Oryza sativa Japonica Group: one gene and its partner. The main gene of each other region encodes a partner of the protein of the gene in region 2 in a complex. Links are inferred from orthologs where the notes say so. Each region holds a gene or a part of one and is shown on either strand. Other genes may lie near its edges. The genes, in order: general transcription and DNA repair factor IIH subunit TFB4 and general transcription factor IIH subunit 2.

What was found.
Region 1: general transcription factor IIH subunit 2 (region 2) and general transcription and DNA repair factor IIH subunit TFB4 share a complex: the UniProt entries of both Arabidopsis thaliana proteins name them as parts of the 7-subunit TFIIH core complex. The link is inferred for Oryza sativa Japonica Group from reciprocal best matches to the Arabidopsis thaliana genes GTF2H2 and AT1G18340.

The regions. Positions count from the first base shown.
Region 1 is NC_089036.1:1,353,849-1,361,610, reverse strand, and holds general transcription and DNA repair factor IIH subunit TFB4, read left to right. Parts: upstream 1-3,241; 5' UTR 3,242-3,395; coding exon 3,396-3,420; intron 3,421-3,516; coding exon 3,517-3,605; intron 3,606-3,888; coding exon 3,889-4,159; intron 4,160-4,241; coding exon 4,242-4,288; intron 4,289-4,558; coding exon 4,559-4,596; intron 4,597-4,672; coding exon 4,673-4,718; intron 4,719-4,953; coding exon 4,954-5,007; intron 5,008-5,129; coding exon 5,130-5,198; intron 5,199-6,059; coding exon 6,060-6,136; intron 6,137-6,447; coding exon 6,448-6,543; intron 6,544-6,657; coding exon 6,658-6,715; 3' UTR 6,716-6,772; intron 6,773-7,026; exon of another isoform or gene 7,027-7,122; 3' UTR 7,123-7,451; downstream 7,452-7,762. UniProt on the Arabidopsis thaliana protein: Component of the general transcription and DNA repair factor IIH (TFIIH) core complex, which is involved in general and transcription-coupled nucleotide excision repair (NER) of damaged DNA and, when complexed to CAK, in RNA transcription by RNA polymerase II.
Region 2 is NC_089038.1:25,934,487-25,942,460, forward strand, and holds general transcription factor IIH subunit 2, read right to left. Parts: upstream 5,207-7,974; 5' UTR 5,116-5,206; coding exon 4,786-5,115; intron 3,363-4,785; coding exon 2,901-3,362; intron 2,821-2,900; coding exon 2,442-2,820; intron 2,013-2,441; coding exon 1,885-2,012; 3' UTR 1,519-1,884; downstream 1-1,518. UniProt on the Arabidopsis thaliana protein: Component of the general transcription and DNA repair factor IIH (TFIIH) core complex, which is involved in general and transcription-coupled nucleotide excision repair (NER) of damaged DNA and, when complexed to CAK, in RNA transcription by RNA polymerase II.

The DNA of each region.
Region 1 (7,762 bases), on a different chromosome or scaffold from region 2:
GATCCTGAGATCCCGAACCCATATATCTCCTCACTCCATGTATGAAAGATTGCTTCTTTCCTGAAATAATTTGAGACGTACACATTGGGAGATATGCCACAATCACCGGCAGCAGCAAGAACGTGTGAGCAAGGAAGGTGATGAAGCTTCGGCTTCATACAACTGCAGGTACATCCACCATCCGCCTTCAAGACACATTCCTGCACGGCTTGCTTGCGATAGATACCACGCCTGCTCCTATCAACACACATTATTTCATACCGATGCACTTGTGTGCCTTGAGCAACAACTCGATGTCTCCGTGCCTTTTTGATTTTATCTTCCATGTACTTTGTCACTACGTTGCCAAACACTATGTTGTTATCGGCCATGGACGGACCAATTTTCTTGTATCGATCCCTAAAGTACGCTTGCGTGCCGTGAAGGATGAATTCAACAATAGCAACCAATGGAAGTACCCGAACTCCTCGCATTACCCAGTTGTACACCTCTGCCAAATTGGTTGTCATTATGCCATACCGAGATCCATCGGTGTCGAACAATAGAGACCACTTCTCCTTAGGCTCATTCTCAATCCACTGAGTGAAATTTCTGATGGACGACCTTGACCTCCTTCTCATTGTTGGTGGGTCATCATGTAATGCACCAAGAGGTATGGGAGGCTCGTCACCTTCAACTAGTGGTCTGCGAGATTGCTCATCTGTTTGCTTCGTTGTCAACTCATCCAACTTGTCCCACAACTCATTAAATTTCTTCTCTTGGTTCTGTGCACAGAGCCTCTTAAAGAGCTCCATAAGATGCTTGTTCTTGAATTGCTTGTAGAAATTTGCACCCATGTGACGCATGCACCACCGACTCTGAACATCAGGCCACTTAGCTGGAAGTCCCTTCTCATCCCAACCGTTCTGCAAGTAGTCAATAGCCCGCAACATACCCTCATGACGATCATGTATAAGGCAAACGTTGGGCCTCATACGCACCACTGCAATGTGCACTCTCTCTAGGAACCAGTACCAGCTTTCAGTGTTCTCACTCTCTACAAATGCAAAAGCCATAGGTAGAACCTGGTTGTTCCCATCACACCCAATTGCTGTCAATATCTGACCTCGGTATTTACCTGTCATAAAAGTTCCATCTATGCATAGAACAGGTCGACAATGCACAAAAGCATTGATGCAAGCACCCAATGAGAAAAAGGCTCTTTGCAGCATACTCTTTGTTCGATCATCAACCGATGTAAATGTATGTAGGTCATAGTACGTATTATTATTCCTCTGGGCAATGGTGGCTAACAAACGAGGCAAATTATCATAAGAAGCTTCAAATGTGCCATACCTCATCTCAATGATCTTTTGTTTGGCTCTCCAGGCCTTTGCATAGCTTATGGTGTACTTGAATTTGTTCTCGATGTGCCTAATAATTGATTTTGGTTCAAAGCCAATGTTACCAACAACACTGCTGTACATCTCACTTGCCACAAAAGCTGAAGTGATGTTTCGGTGATACTTCTCCACCCCTTGTAAGTAGCACTTGTGCTCGGTCACAATGCTAACTTTCCAATAATCATTCCATTTACCCTTATATGCATGGACACGCCACGGACAATCTTCCTTCATGCACCTCACTTCATACACATAATTTGTTGACTTGACCACCCTAAACTCTCTCTGCAAGGAAACTGCCCAATGCTTCACCGCCTCCTTCATCTCATCCTTATGAGCATACCTTGCACCGTCAATTACCTCGTTCTCCTTATACTCCCAGGGTACATGATCACCCTCTGATATAACAAGTCCAGAGAAGTCCTCATTTGCCCAATCAGTGGCCATTACATCACCTTCCTCATCGGATGATGCGTCGTCGTCCGCTTCCTCATTATCCGAATCTTCCCTCTCCATTTCATCAACAATTATACCGACTCTCTCCCCCTCATCCGCCATGCCCATAGCCTGCTCCTCCCTTGGTTGATTTTCCTCATTTTGCATCGATGGTCCAACAACATCCCCTGCATTGATAGGACCCTCTACATCTTCGGTTTGCATTGAAACATTTATATCTTTCTCTTGTACCGACACAAATATAACGAGGGGCCATGACCGTTCAAAAGCCATTTCCACATACCGTCTCCAAGCATCAGTGCTGTCCATCGGCATTAGTTCCCAAAAATAACCTTCTGTTGCACGACTCACTACAACTGACACTGACATTGTGTAGACTTCTTGGTCTATTCTAAATCCTCTCAACAACCAACTATAAATTGACTGAAATGTTCTCTCCGCAGGCCTATCGATGCCCTTAGATGTCATTACAAAATCTGACAGATCAACACCATCTGGACCAAATCTAATATTTCCTTTACCATGAACTATCTGAAATGTGACCTTACTTGACATTGTGCCTGATGAAAACAATAACTGCGTTAACCTCGCATTTCTGTACTACGCCCTAAGTTACATTCTCTACAATATTGTTCTCTAAATTTCTAAAATTACGTTACATTCTCCAGATCAAACTAAACTACATCTTACAATTAACACTACTGTCTATGTCTCAATTCATACTATTATATTCTATGCTCTGGATCTACACATATGTGCTATGTGCTACAGATGTGCTAAAATATATGGAACTAAAACTAAAACGCAACATATATACTCAAACATAACATATTAGTACAAATGCAAAAGATGTATGGGAGCATACCTGTGATGAATTGAGCGAACCAGCAGGGCTTCGCCGCTCCCCTTCTGCTGCCCTCCCCTCTCTCTCTTTCGTTTTTTTTGGATTTTTAGTGAATATAATGAAATTTCACAGAGGAGGGACTGGGCTTTATAGGGGGAGGCAAAAATCGCCCTCCCCCAGGGCGGCAAGGGGGCCGCCTGCAAAATTCCATGCCCCCTCGCCGCCCATTTGCAGGCGCCCCCCCCCCACAGTACAAAATCGCCCTAGCGGAGGGCGGCAAGGGGGCCGCCTGCAAAATTCCATGCCCCCCCTCGCCGCCCATTTGCAGGCGGCCCCCCGCACAGTATAAAATCGCCCTAGCGGAGGGCGGCAAGGGGGCCGCCTGCAAATTTCGTTGACGGCCGTCGCCCGAGAGCGAACGGCCGTCTGCCACGTCATTTTCGCCGCCCTCTGAGAGGGCGGTAGGCGACTACTTCCGTCAATTTTCAAAATGGAAAATTATTTTTGTAAAACTTTTAATAAAAAAATTATAAATAAAAAAAATTCGTCGTCTCTTGCCGCCCCCAAGCGCAGCCGCAACTCCGCCGAGTTCGCCGCCTCCGCCTCCGCCTCCCGACGGCGGCAAGGCAACCGCTCGCGCCGCCGCCGCCTCGGCCCAACCAGCGCCTCCGTTCGCGCGTGTCCGGCCCTGCCGCGACGGCGGTGAGACTGCCATGGCCTCCTCCAAGCTCTACTCCGGTAAGCGGCGCCCGACCGTCTCCGTTTTCTGATCCCTTTGCGTCTCGCTAATCTTCCCCCCTTTTCTCTTGCCTCGTCTCCACCGCGCCTGCGCAGATGACGTCAGCCTCGCCGTCGTCGTCGTCGACACCAACCCCTTGTTCTGGGCCACCGCCGCCCTCCCCTTCGCCGACTTCTTCGCCCATGTACGCCGCGACCTCCCAAACCCTATTTCCCTTCTCGTCCCCCGCTTCCCCTCTCGATTTCTAGTTTTTGATTCACATCTATATCATGGGGATTAACCACGGAAACACGATCAGTATCTAGTTGCATTCACGCTGATCTAGCTAGTTTGATTTTATTCTGACTCCTCCAGAGAGGATCAATCTCTAGTTGCTCGCTGATCTAGTTAGTTTGATTTTGACTCTGAATTCTCCAGAGAGGAGAGGATTTACACTTAATACTGATGCAATTCCGGGGTGTATGTAGCTGATCCACTACGTGAACTCGCTCTTGCTTCTGAACCACCTCAACCATGTGGTCGTCATCGCCGCGGGGCTTAGCTCTTGCACCTACATCTTCGACTCGAGCGATGCTAGTGCCTCTGGTGCTGCAGACGTCGCGGCCACCTTCGCAAAGGCGAGCCGCAAGATGGATGAGTTCATTGCAGAAGACGCCCGTGCCACTAGCAGCAATGGTTCCGTTGCTGATGGCAATGCAGCCTCTCTTCTCTCAGGCGCACTGTCCCTTGCTCTGTGCTGTATCCTATGACTGGTACTGATTTCTTATTGTTAGTGCATTTTCCATTTGTGCTTGTATTTCTTAACATGGAGGATGCTTAGATATACAGAGGGTTTTTCGGTCTGGTACTCGACATCCACAACCTCGGGTGAGTATACACTCTGTGTGTGTTCTAAGTTACCTTTTGTTCTGATTCCTGTTGATATGTTGACCTATGAGAACAACATAGAAGGGAGCATATCAGTTAGCATAAATGTTTACAATGCGCATGCTGTATGGACTAAAAAAACCTGATAGGCATCTGACCCATCACTAATGATATAATTATTTAATTTTCTTTGTTTTCTTGAATTTTTCTACTCAATATCCTCACAACTTATTCTAGTGGCATCATGTATTATGCTAACACGAAATACAGATTTTATGCCTGCAGGGTTCTCCAGATGGACCTGAACAGTACGCACATTCATCGATTTGATTGTGTAGTATATATTTTCTGGAACATGTTTTAACTCAATGAGATGCTGCGCAGATATGTAGCGGTCATGAACTCAATATTTTCTGCTCAACGTTCCATGGTATTGCATGAACTGTCACTATTCCGTACATTTGGGTTCATTGTTCAATTCATTTTATTGATACTCTTGATGTCACCTCACCATTTCACAACTGTAGTGGTTTTAGTGAGTCCCAACTGCAAGTAGCACTACCTCTAGACATGTCTATATGACTATATACATCACCAGTTTCATTGCTTAAAACATTCACTAACAACTTTGGTCCTTATTTTTTTTTTCTATCAAAAAAATTTAGGTCCCAATCGATTCATGCATAGTAGGAACCCAAGACTCTGCTTTCTTGCAACAGGTAATGTTCTTCAGTGCCTTCTTGGTCTTTCTTTCCATTTATAACTTCTTTTACATGTATGCCCCCATAGAGCTGTCTATTCCTTGCTGAATGCTGATCATATACTGGCCTTTCATTTGCAGGCTTCATATATAACAGGTGGAGTTTATTTGAAACCCCAAGAACTAAATGGTCTATTTCAATACCTTGCTGTAAGTCATTCTGGCACTTCTGTAGCAACACACATATTTTCTCATGCAACCATGGTTACATCTTTATAACTGCATGATGCATTTATATAAAGCCTGTGGCCATCTTTTCTGTGTAATAATGAAAAATTAAGAAGGCAACTAACCTCCAGCACATGAATCTGATGTAACTCTTTAAAAGAAAAATGCCAGATCAGCCCATTTTCATTTTGTGAAAAAAAATAATATCAACTTTCATCTAAGGTTGTCTAGGCTCTTCTGTTTTCCTGCCTTTGCTTGAATGTAGAATGTACTAGTAATGTTTGGGAACTCATGCATCTCTAGTGAGTGTGGCTTGTTTAAAGTGTGCACTCAAGCATAATATTTCCTGTATGTCTCAAACTGTCAATCTGGGAAGATCAACACAACTACATCTCTAAACTTTAGTGCCAAATGATTTTGGATGCTACTAGTAGACTACAAAGTTGAATGCCCTCTCAGTGTCTATGTTCATGAGTTCATCTCCTATGTCAAAACTCAATATTTTCTGTCACTAGAGTGGGGCACATAGATACTCCATCTTCCTGGTACTGGTAGTATATCTACCTGTTAATCTAGAATCAGATTCACATATATATGTACAATACACTAATGAACAACAATGGAATCATCAGATTATGGCGTGATAGACTGTGCTGTTTACTTCTGACCCAAATCTATTGCTTCAATATCAGCTTACGTTGACCTGTTTTTGGAATATATATATTAGTTCCAAAGTTGCTCTGTTTTGTGTTTGTCTTTATTCTATCTGAGTAGGAATATTTCTATTTCAGATAACTTGATTAATTTGCTTGAGCTCAATGACTCATTTCTGCAAATATGCAGGCTGTATTTGCAACTGATTTACACTCAAGAACCTTTCTGCGCCTCCCCAAGACTCTGGGAGTGGATTTCCGTGCTTCGTATGTGTCACTCAGTTTCCTCTATTAAGTTCTCTAGGCATTAGGCATATCTCTGTTTCTTCATCTTCTTGAATGCCTTGTGACATAGCTATGAGATGCTTGTTATAGATCTGAAAACATAGCATAATACCAATGACAATTTCAGAAAAATGTGAGAAACATACAGCTAATTTTTTTTGTGAAGTTCTATCTTACCAAAGGCCTTAGGTCAGGATTAGCAGCTCAGTTTATTTTTGTTTTTAAGTTTCCATTCAGTTTGTCTGATACTGGTGGCCTTTCAACTGCATCTAATTTGCTATATTTCTTTTCAGATGTTTCTGCCATAAGAAGACTATTGACATGGGATATGTTTGTTCAGTTTGTTTATCGATATTCTGCAAGTATCATAAGAAGTGTTCGACCTGTGGGTATGTTATAGTTGCTTTGTGTTTCTATTCTTTTGTCTTTTTCCTGAGAGCTTTAATTTGTTTCAGTAAGAATCAGATTGTTTGCTTGTTTAATTTGATGTGCTCCGTTCACAGGTCAGAATTCAACCGTGTCATGCCCGACTTAAATTCTGTACCTGATCAAAGGCAGTAGTCTACACTACAGATGGCGAAATATCAGACTGCAGACTTCTCTTTATGTTCTCCACAGGTTCGTCTGATGTGTCTCTTAAGAAACTTCGGTGCCACTATCTTCTATAGTTAAAAGATCTCATTTGTAAAATATAGACTACTTCATCTGCATTAGCTGACCCCCAGACATGCATTATGCGTTAATGATGATGACATGCACATACAGTGCACGCCATATCTAGTCTAGTTTCAAATTTTACCTACCTTGTGTTCTTATGTGCGTAGGTTCATGCCCGTGCTTTGTTCCATTCTGAAATGTGGTTCATTTTCCAGGAACATCTATCCTAGCATTTTAGCCTCAATGACATGCACATTTATTTCTTAGATACGATACATGATGCTGGATCAGCCTGTCCCTGATTTTGACAGGTTCAACTGATACAGAATGGGCATTGTGTGCATACTTGAAGCAGCGTCAGTTTAGCAAAAACTAGGCAACTGGGCGTAGCAATTTTGTCAACTGATGAGGGAACTCACGCCCGACTTTTGGAATTAGTTTGCCTGCAATTTGTAAAGTTGGCACATGAACTTGTGATGCACCATTTGCAAATGCTCTTTTTTGCTTACCGAAAACAGGACAACAGGTCAAGCTAGTAGATGGCAAATCATTTTTCTTGTCATGGTGACACAGGTTGCGCTAATGTCTTGATATATTACTTCGAGCTCCAAGAACAATTTTGATTTTTAGTTTCCTATAACGGCTGTGTGCACTGCCGATGGAACTGTGCAGATTTGTTCTGGCGCGATGCGATGTTAAAAATGTTGCTACGTTTTTTTTTCAAACGTAGTCAAACCAAAAGAATTTTGATTTAGAAAAGAGTCAAAGCATTTTATAATATGAAGCGGAGGGAGTAACTAGTACAAGCAATTCTCACAAAGAAAACATTCAACCAAGTAACCCGCAGCAACGTTAACCTCTAGCACAGAAACGAGTTCGTACTTTTTACAAGACGTCATAGGTATTAAGATCATCAAAATGTACTGAGCCTCACTAATAAATGGGTTGAGA
Region 2 (7,974 bases):
CCAAAGCAAGCAAATCCCATCATGGGGTCAGTATCATTGCACGAGCTCGATGCGATGCCCAGCCGGTGCCGGACCACATCGTCAGAAAGTTGCAAGCGGCGAACTCAGTTCGACCTTGTGGTTTGAGTTTGTCGATCCGGATTTAAATTATAAACTTAACACGGTTATTAATATTTATAGCTAGTTAATTCTTTTAGTGGTAGATAATACTATATATATCGACACATGACATCCATATATGTCTATGGTAACTTTGAAATATGATAGAGAGATATGTCTATGATAACTTTTGTTAATCTTAAATTAAATATATACCGATGTAATCTTTAGAGATGTTTATAAAAAGAGTAAATTTTATAAAACTACACGTCTTGTAGTTTAAGTTGTAGAAAACCATAAACATTTTGACACTTGGCACTTAAGTATATATATTTTGGTAGTGTGATATCACAAAACCGCACTATCAATGAATGAATTCACCCGCGAGATGATGTGACTGTTTCAACTAGGACGAGAACATGGCATCTTATTACTAGCCATCCCATGAAATTAATAGGATGCCACGTCATCATCTAGATAAAACAACCACGTCATCTCATGTGTGAATCCATTCATCGATAGTGTGGTTTTGTGAAACTAAACTACCAAAATATATGTACTTAAATGCCAAGTGTCAAAATATGTGTGGTTTTCTGCAACTTGAACCATAAAACATGTAGTTTTGTAAAATTTACTCTTATAAAAATATGATGTGCGTATATGTGTTTATATGAGCGAGGCGTCCGTACTGTTGAAGGAAAGGAAGTTGCAAGTGACTGTGTATAGGCAGCATAGGGCACGAAAAGGGCTTAGCGCCATAGAGTGTGCACACTGTGCAGTGCTCGGAAAAGGCCGTGGTCGATCGGTTGCCGTCGTGCTGTCTCACCTGTGTTTCTTTCAAGTGGACTCGAGTGATCTACAGTTGAAAACGCACAGGACGGTGCAGCAGCCTGCAGTTCGTCGTGCCCACAACTTGGCCGTGCAACTGGTGAAAAGGAGCACTGGCACCGCTGCCTGTCATCCATTCGCTTTAGCAAAGTCGACATGATAGCCACAGGAAGCACACTTTCATCAGAGTGTAGGGAACCAGGGATATGCTGCGTATATGTAATTATGCATGATGATCGCCACTGCTCGTCACCGGAAAGCTGAAAGGGAACAACGAAAAAGCCCAGAGTTAGCATCTGTGTTGACTCCGCCCATCAGAAGCGAATTGCGAGGCAGCAAAAAAACGTAAGCCATCAGCCTCTTGGGTCAGCAACATCGTGCTCTCTCCAGCGTTTTGCCGTTTCGTTCTGCGTCTCCGCCTGCTTTGAAATTGTGCAGTTAATTGCACGAGGCAACTGCTTACCTTGACGATTCTACAGTCAGCAACCAGCAACGGAAAACGCCGGGTGCGTGCGTGCGTCGAGCCGTCGATATCCAGCATATTGGCATATCAGGAGAGGAAGGGGGAAAAAAAAAGAAAGGAACAGCCTCTGCTCGTAAATGGCATGTCAGGGCATGACTATGACACTGAAAGAATACATCTTTGCCTCAGAAAAACGGCAAGAGTTACAAGTTTTCACTTTTCAGTCGCATTGTACATTTCTAACACCTCCCCTCAGCAACAATGCTATGGCTTCAACAACTCTTTGACCAGTACTCTGTATCAAAATAGCTTAACTAGCTACTCCATCTAAATGAACAGGAAGCGTCAACAAAATGGAGGCCGGGCACTATATCATCTGTACACTGTTTGATTACCTCACAACATCGCCTACCAATGTCAGTGTACGAGAAAGCTTACAGCAACGGGTAGCTTCTTGAGTTAAAAAGACAAAGATTAACACCACAATGGCATCCCTATGAAGAACTACGCTGACTCTCGCAACCTGGGCAATTGTGCAAGCTCTCATGGATGTAAATATCGCAATCAAGGCAGAAGTGTTGGTTGCATTTTGGACAGCGAACATGGAGGCTAGATTGACTATCTGCAAGGATATTGGATAAATAATTAATAAACCTGATAATTGCAAAGTACTCCCTCCGTCTCAAAAAATAACGAACCTAGGACTGTATATAACACATTCTAGTACAACGAATATAAACAGAGGTATGTCCAGATTCATAGTACTAGGATATGCCACATCTAGTACTATGTTGGTTTTTTATGGGACAGAGGGAGTATAATCTAGCACAAAAACCAGTGAAAAACATTAAATGTAAGAGAAGTATGAGGATTGGTAATTGAAGAACATGATGCCATGTAATAACAAACAAATGTAAGCTTTGTATTATGTATTTTCTCTTCTTTTTTCTACCAACTGCAACATATGTAGCACAATAAGGATATCTTTCCTTGTATGAAAATGCATTGAAAAGGTAGCATGTACTGTTAGACGTGTTAAAGAACTGCATACCAGGGTTAATAAAGCTTTGCTGGCAGCCGTAACACTTTTGTCCTCCCTTTTGACCTAGTCTATTTGGGTGCACGGAGGACACCTCATCAAATGGTTGTACAGGGAAGAGATGATGATAGGACCTTGCCAGATGTGGAGAGCTAACTAGTGTCAGCCCGCAAGTTCGACATTCTGTTGGAAGCTCACATACATTGACTTTGCATCTAGGACATATGTAACCTTCAGCCCCCGACTTTATTTTCTTGTGACAAGAGCAGATGGAGATAAGATCCTCTGCTCCTCTCTGCGGAAAACCCATCTTAATCAAATTAGCTGCAGCATACTCAGCAATTGCAGGTGGTGGAGGAGCATGTTCCAGAAGCAATTCCTTGAAATGGGACTGCCAAAATAAAACAGGCATTATTTATCTTCACAATAACTGAATAAGGAAAGGTAAACACACAAAGCATATTTTAAGACCTCATCCAGTGCAACTGTGTAGGATCCGCCAGTCTCTTCACACAGATATTTGCAGATAAAAATCTCTGCAGCAAGCCCAATAACCGAACATCGTATTTTGGATTTCTTGCATTTTGCTATTGTCTCCATGATATCTCCAGGATCACAGGTATTCAGGGCCGAGTACAAAAATAATACTTCCTTGTGACCATATGAAGGAACCTGGTCTAAATAACCATGGACAAGCTCTAGAGCATTCTGCAGAGATGGTTCACCAGAACACTCAAGCTTCCCCATCAATGCTTTAATCTGTGATTCAGGACTACCTCCAATCTCTGTAAGTCGATGGGAAATCCCATCTTTCATTGTCACTATCCCCACATGACTCAAGGGATTCTGGTCAAAAAATTCCCTTATGAATACCTCAGCATATTTTGCAACAACAGCCATTCGACTAGGTCGATAATCCATCTCTGAAGCTGCCTACATGATCAAAGATACAACCAGGATAAATGGAGATTACAACCGAATGCAAAGAAGTAAAAGAAGTCGTGGGCAGCATATCAATTTGCAGTAAAAATATCTTCATCACCAGAACAATCATGAGCAGCCTACTTTGTGAGAAGAAAATGTACATATGCTAAAATAAATGGTATAGGCCCTCTCCAAGATTTCTTGGAGCTAGGTATTTCTAGCTCCATAAATCCATGGATCTAGATCTACGATTACGTTAATAACATTTAAATAAATTATTTCGTGCACATTTCAAATGAAATTTAGAATTTTAAACCATTATAATTTAATTTATAAACTTCAAATCTACCATGGATCTAAGATCTGGAGCTGTGCCAAAGAGGATCTTATTTACTACCTATCACCCAAAGGAAGAAAGGGCTTTTTCCACATGAATGCATACACAAAATATACGTAGTGTTCTCAAATCAACAGAAAACACTTTCCAACAATGTCAAATGGTATGGAGCAGTAATGCAGTACGGTGCCCCTTTCCTTTGACATAAAACAAATGACGATCAACCAAAACGCTTTACCGCTTCAGAATCTTGATAATGAAAAACCTCACGCTCCTCCGATTCCTATGAAGTTTTCAGATAGGACAGAACCAAGAGAAAATTGCTATTAGCATGAGCCTAACAGGGATGGGGTATGAAATATGTCTTTTCCTTTTTAGCTTGCTCATAAGAGTCATAGTGCAGTAATTTATAGAAAGAATTTTATTTACCACAGATCTCAGGAGACCCTTTGGCACAAGAATTTTTTTCCTTTACAAAACAAACTATTATAATTGTAGAAGAACCATTTTTAATACAAACCATATACAATTTCATTTTAGTTTGTGAACTTCATTGCGTTCAATGGTTGGCGAAAACCCCCCATTCAATCTCTGGTTATGGCCCTGGTCAATGGCAAACAAAAATGGCTAGATTCCAGTATTGCCCTGATATGCACCGATTATAACACCCACTCTCAGGGACTAAAAGCAGAACACCTAAGCAAGAAGACAAGCTAGCAAATCATACATGAGTGATGAGATCATCAACTCAAACATCAAACCTTGATGTGGAAGTGGAGAGGATTGCGCAGCTAGTCACTGAAATAGCTAGCATATGAAATCAAGCTAAAAGCACTACATAGTGATCACCGATTCAACAATACTGCCTCCAGTCCACATTTCACACGAACCAAATTGAGGCCATGGGCAATACCACCAGATCAGCCTCGGCACGAGGTGTTGCATTTAACAAACACTGAGAGGTTAGCACGATCAGCATTGCCCGCCATCCCCAGTGATCCTAACCCGAGCTCACGGAAAACTCCGCACTCACCAAGTGCTCGACGGAGTGACTGACCCGAGGACAAGCTTAGGAGAAGGCACGGGGGAACGAACCCGGGAGAGATCGATGACGATGTAGAGGTAGCGGATGAGGCCCTTCTGGATGCGGGCGGCGGCGGAGGCGGCAGAGCGGAGGAGAAGGCGGCGGCGGTACTGCGCGTGGACGAGGGTCTTGGTGTCGATCGGGCGGAGGAGGCCCGACTCGTCCTCCTGCAGCGCCTCCCATGACCGGTCGTCCGCGTACGCGCGCTCCCAGGCCTCGAGGACGCGCCCCTCGCCGGACTCCTCCTCCTCCTCGTCGTCGTCGTCCTCGTGGTTGCGCCGCCGGGCCGATGCCGTGTAGGGCGCGTTGAAGCCGCCGCCGCCGCCGCCGACGCCGTACATGGTGGAGGCGGCGGCGAGGCGGAGTGGGAGCAGAGGAGGAAGGAGAGGCGAGGTCGGGGACCGGGGAGATGGGCCAGGTTTTGGGGTTCCTGGGCTTTTGAGTGGGTTTTCCTTAACTTTTCTAGCTTTCCCATGCTTGACGGTTGAGGCCTTACTTGCTTGCACTTGAAAAAAAAACTGAAAACCCATCTAAAATTTTATGAATATTTTTTGGGGGTTATCGTCAAATCTTGCAGATTTAGGGTCAAAAGATGTGCTTCGTGATTAAGATAAAAAAAGATGTGCTTTGTGATTTGTGCTCTATATTCTTCTCCTCTTGCTTTAGCAACCTCCTTTTCTTTGTCGACATTGGCGCCACCCTGAACTAGAATCGACGGATTAGGGTCCATATTAGATTTAGGGTAGGGATTGGGGAAGAGGGAGGAGATCGTCGGTCTTAGAGGCATGATCATGGGAAGTGGTGGACCAAGGGGGGTGGTGGACAATGGATGCTAGTGAGGCGTCAACGGCGATGTCAGCGCCCATTGGGATAAAGGAGCGCGGTAGGGGCAAAGCAAGCTTGTGTTAAGAAGCGGTAGTCGGTGGTGGTGGTTATGAGCAGCCGAAGATGGGGAAAATGTCGGATCATGGGCATCTGCTGGCTTGAGAAGGAATAGAGGGGGGAGGGCTCCGTCAATATTAATGACACTTCCATCCAAGTGATAGCACAAGAGGCGTCAAGGTCGAGCATGTCGTGCATCGGTGAGGAGGGAAGAAGAAAAGGAAGAGGGTTAACGTGGGGGGATTTGAACGAATCTCAAAGTAATCCAACGAGGGGTTTATGTCAAATGTAAGGCTTATTTCCTTTGTCGAGTTAAGTTGACATATGCACACACTAACTTTATGCATCTAAGTCCTAACATACACTCAAATTCGAACAGTAGCCTCGTTTAACATGGGTATAAACTTATCCACCAAATATTATGTGCATTCAGTGCCTCCGGAGATTAAGTCTCCGAGAAAGTGCAAGCACCAGCATACTACCTCATCAGATTAAATCCTAGAAAAAAAATGCAAAAGCACCTATACTAAGACTACAACTTGAACTTCGATGGATATGTTCTACCGCAAGGGGAGCTCAGTTGGCAAATTTGATGAATAATTTTGATAAACTGAAATACAGGTTGTAGTACTTTGCATAATAATAAAATCACTAGACATCTGCACATGTGCATGTTTGAACTTTCAGACACTTCATAAAAATAAATATAGTTTTATGTTGACAGTTGGAATTGCAGCATTGGCAATGTGGCACCTGACCACCTCGATTTTTTTAATAACGAAGTTCATGCGATCTGTAAGTATTTATACTATAAATTCATCTCTATAGTTTATATCATCGACATGGTTGACTGGTCGACATCGCATCTAATGCGCGAATGTATCCATGTCTCATGTGCCACGCTTTTGTTATACAGGTGTCGCTGATAATATCTTCGACAGACTTTGCAGTACTAGGTTCCAATGCTGCAGTTCCACGGTTGTTGTTCTGTGCTTCTGTTGTAATGCCACTGATGACAGCTAAGCTAGGACTAATCCTAATTCCAATCAAAACCTTAAGATGTTCCTAGTTTCCTACAGATCAGCTAACTTCAGAAGGATGAAAGTACAGTCTGATATTTTCCATGCCTCTTGAAATGTGCACTTCATCTTCATGCATGTTCATCAATCTGTTATCTGTGAATAAACTTGATGCATTCTTCATCGCATTGTGATCCTTGACTTATGTTTAGAAGATTTTCATCTCTAGACTTCGGGGTCTTTCTGAAGATCAGGTAAGGCCGAGTTTAGTTCTAAACTTTTTTTTAAACTTTTAACTTTTTTATCACATTAAAACTTTTCTATACACATAAACTTTTAACTTTTCAGTCACATCATTTCAATTTTAACCAAACTTTTAATTTTGACGTGAACTAAACACACCCTGACTTCAGTAGGATGAAAGTAGTCTGATATTTTCCCTGCCTCTTGAAATGTGCACTTCATCTTCATGCATGTTCCTCTGTTATCTGTGAATAAACTTGATGCATTTTCCATCACAAGTATCATTTAGGCCTTGTTTAGATCTAAAAAATTTTAGCCAAAAACATCATATCAAATGTTTGGACACATGCATAGGACATTAAATGTGGAAAAAAAATCAATTGTACAGTTTGTATGTAAATTGCGAGACGAATCTTTTAAGCCTAATTACGCCATGATTTGACAATGTGATGCTATAACAAACATTTGCTAATGACAGATTAATTAGACTTAATAAATTCGTCTCGCAGTTTACATACGGAATTTGTAATTTGTTTTGTTATTAGTCTACGTTTAATACTTTAAATGTGCGTTCATATACTTTAAAAACTTTACACTCAAATAAAAACACATCCTTAGCTTATGTTTGGAAGAGTTTCTAGACTTTGGGGTCTTTCTGAAGATCTCTTCTGGCAATCGTTGAGAAGCACAGCAACCTCTGTGCAATAATAGGCCTGGAACTATGCGGTGATGTTCTTTTCTCCTTTTCTCTTAAAGATAAAGATGAAAATTAATTTTTTTACGCAAAAACGAGATGATATTAACGTATGTTGATTGAGTTTTAATTATTACAAACTTTAAAAATAGATTAATATGATATTTTATAGCAACTTTCATACAGAAAGTTTTCGCACGAAGCGCATCGTTTAGCAGTTTGAAAAATATGCCACGAAAATCTTAATCTTCATCCTGTTGTGTATGTCAATCAGCTGTACTAGTCATCTCCTTTCAGAAATTTTCAGAGCAGCGTTTGGCTCTTGTGTGTGGTAGTCTTGGGCTATTGGCTCTCTTCAGAAA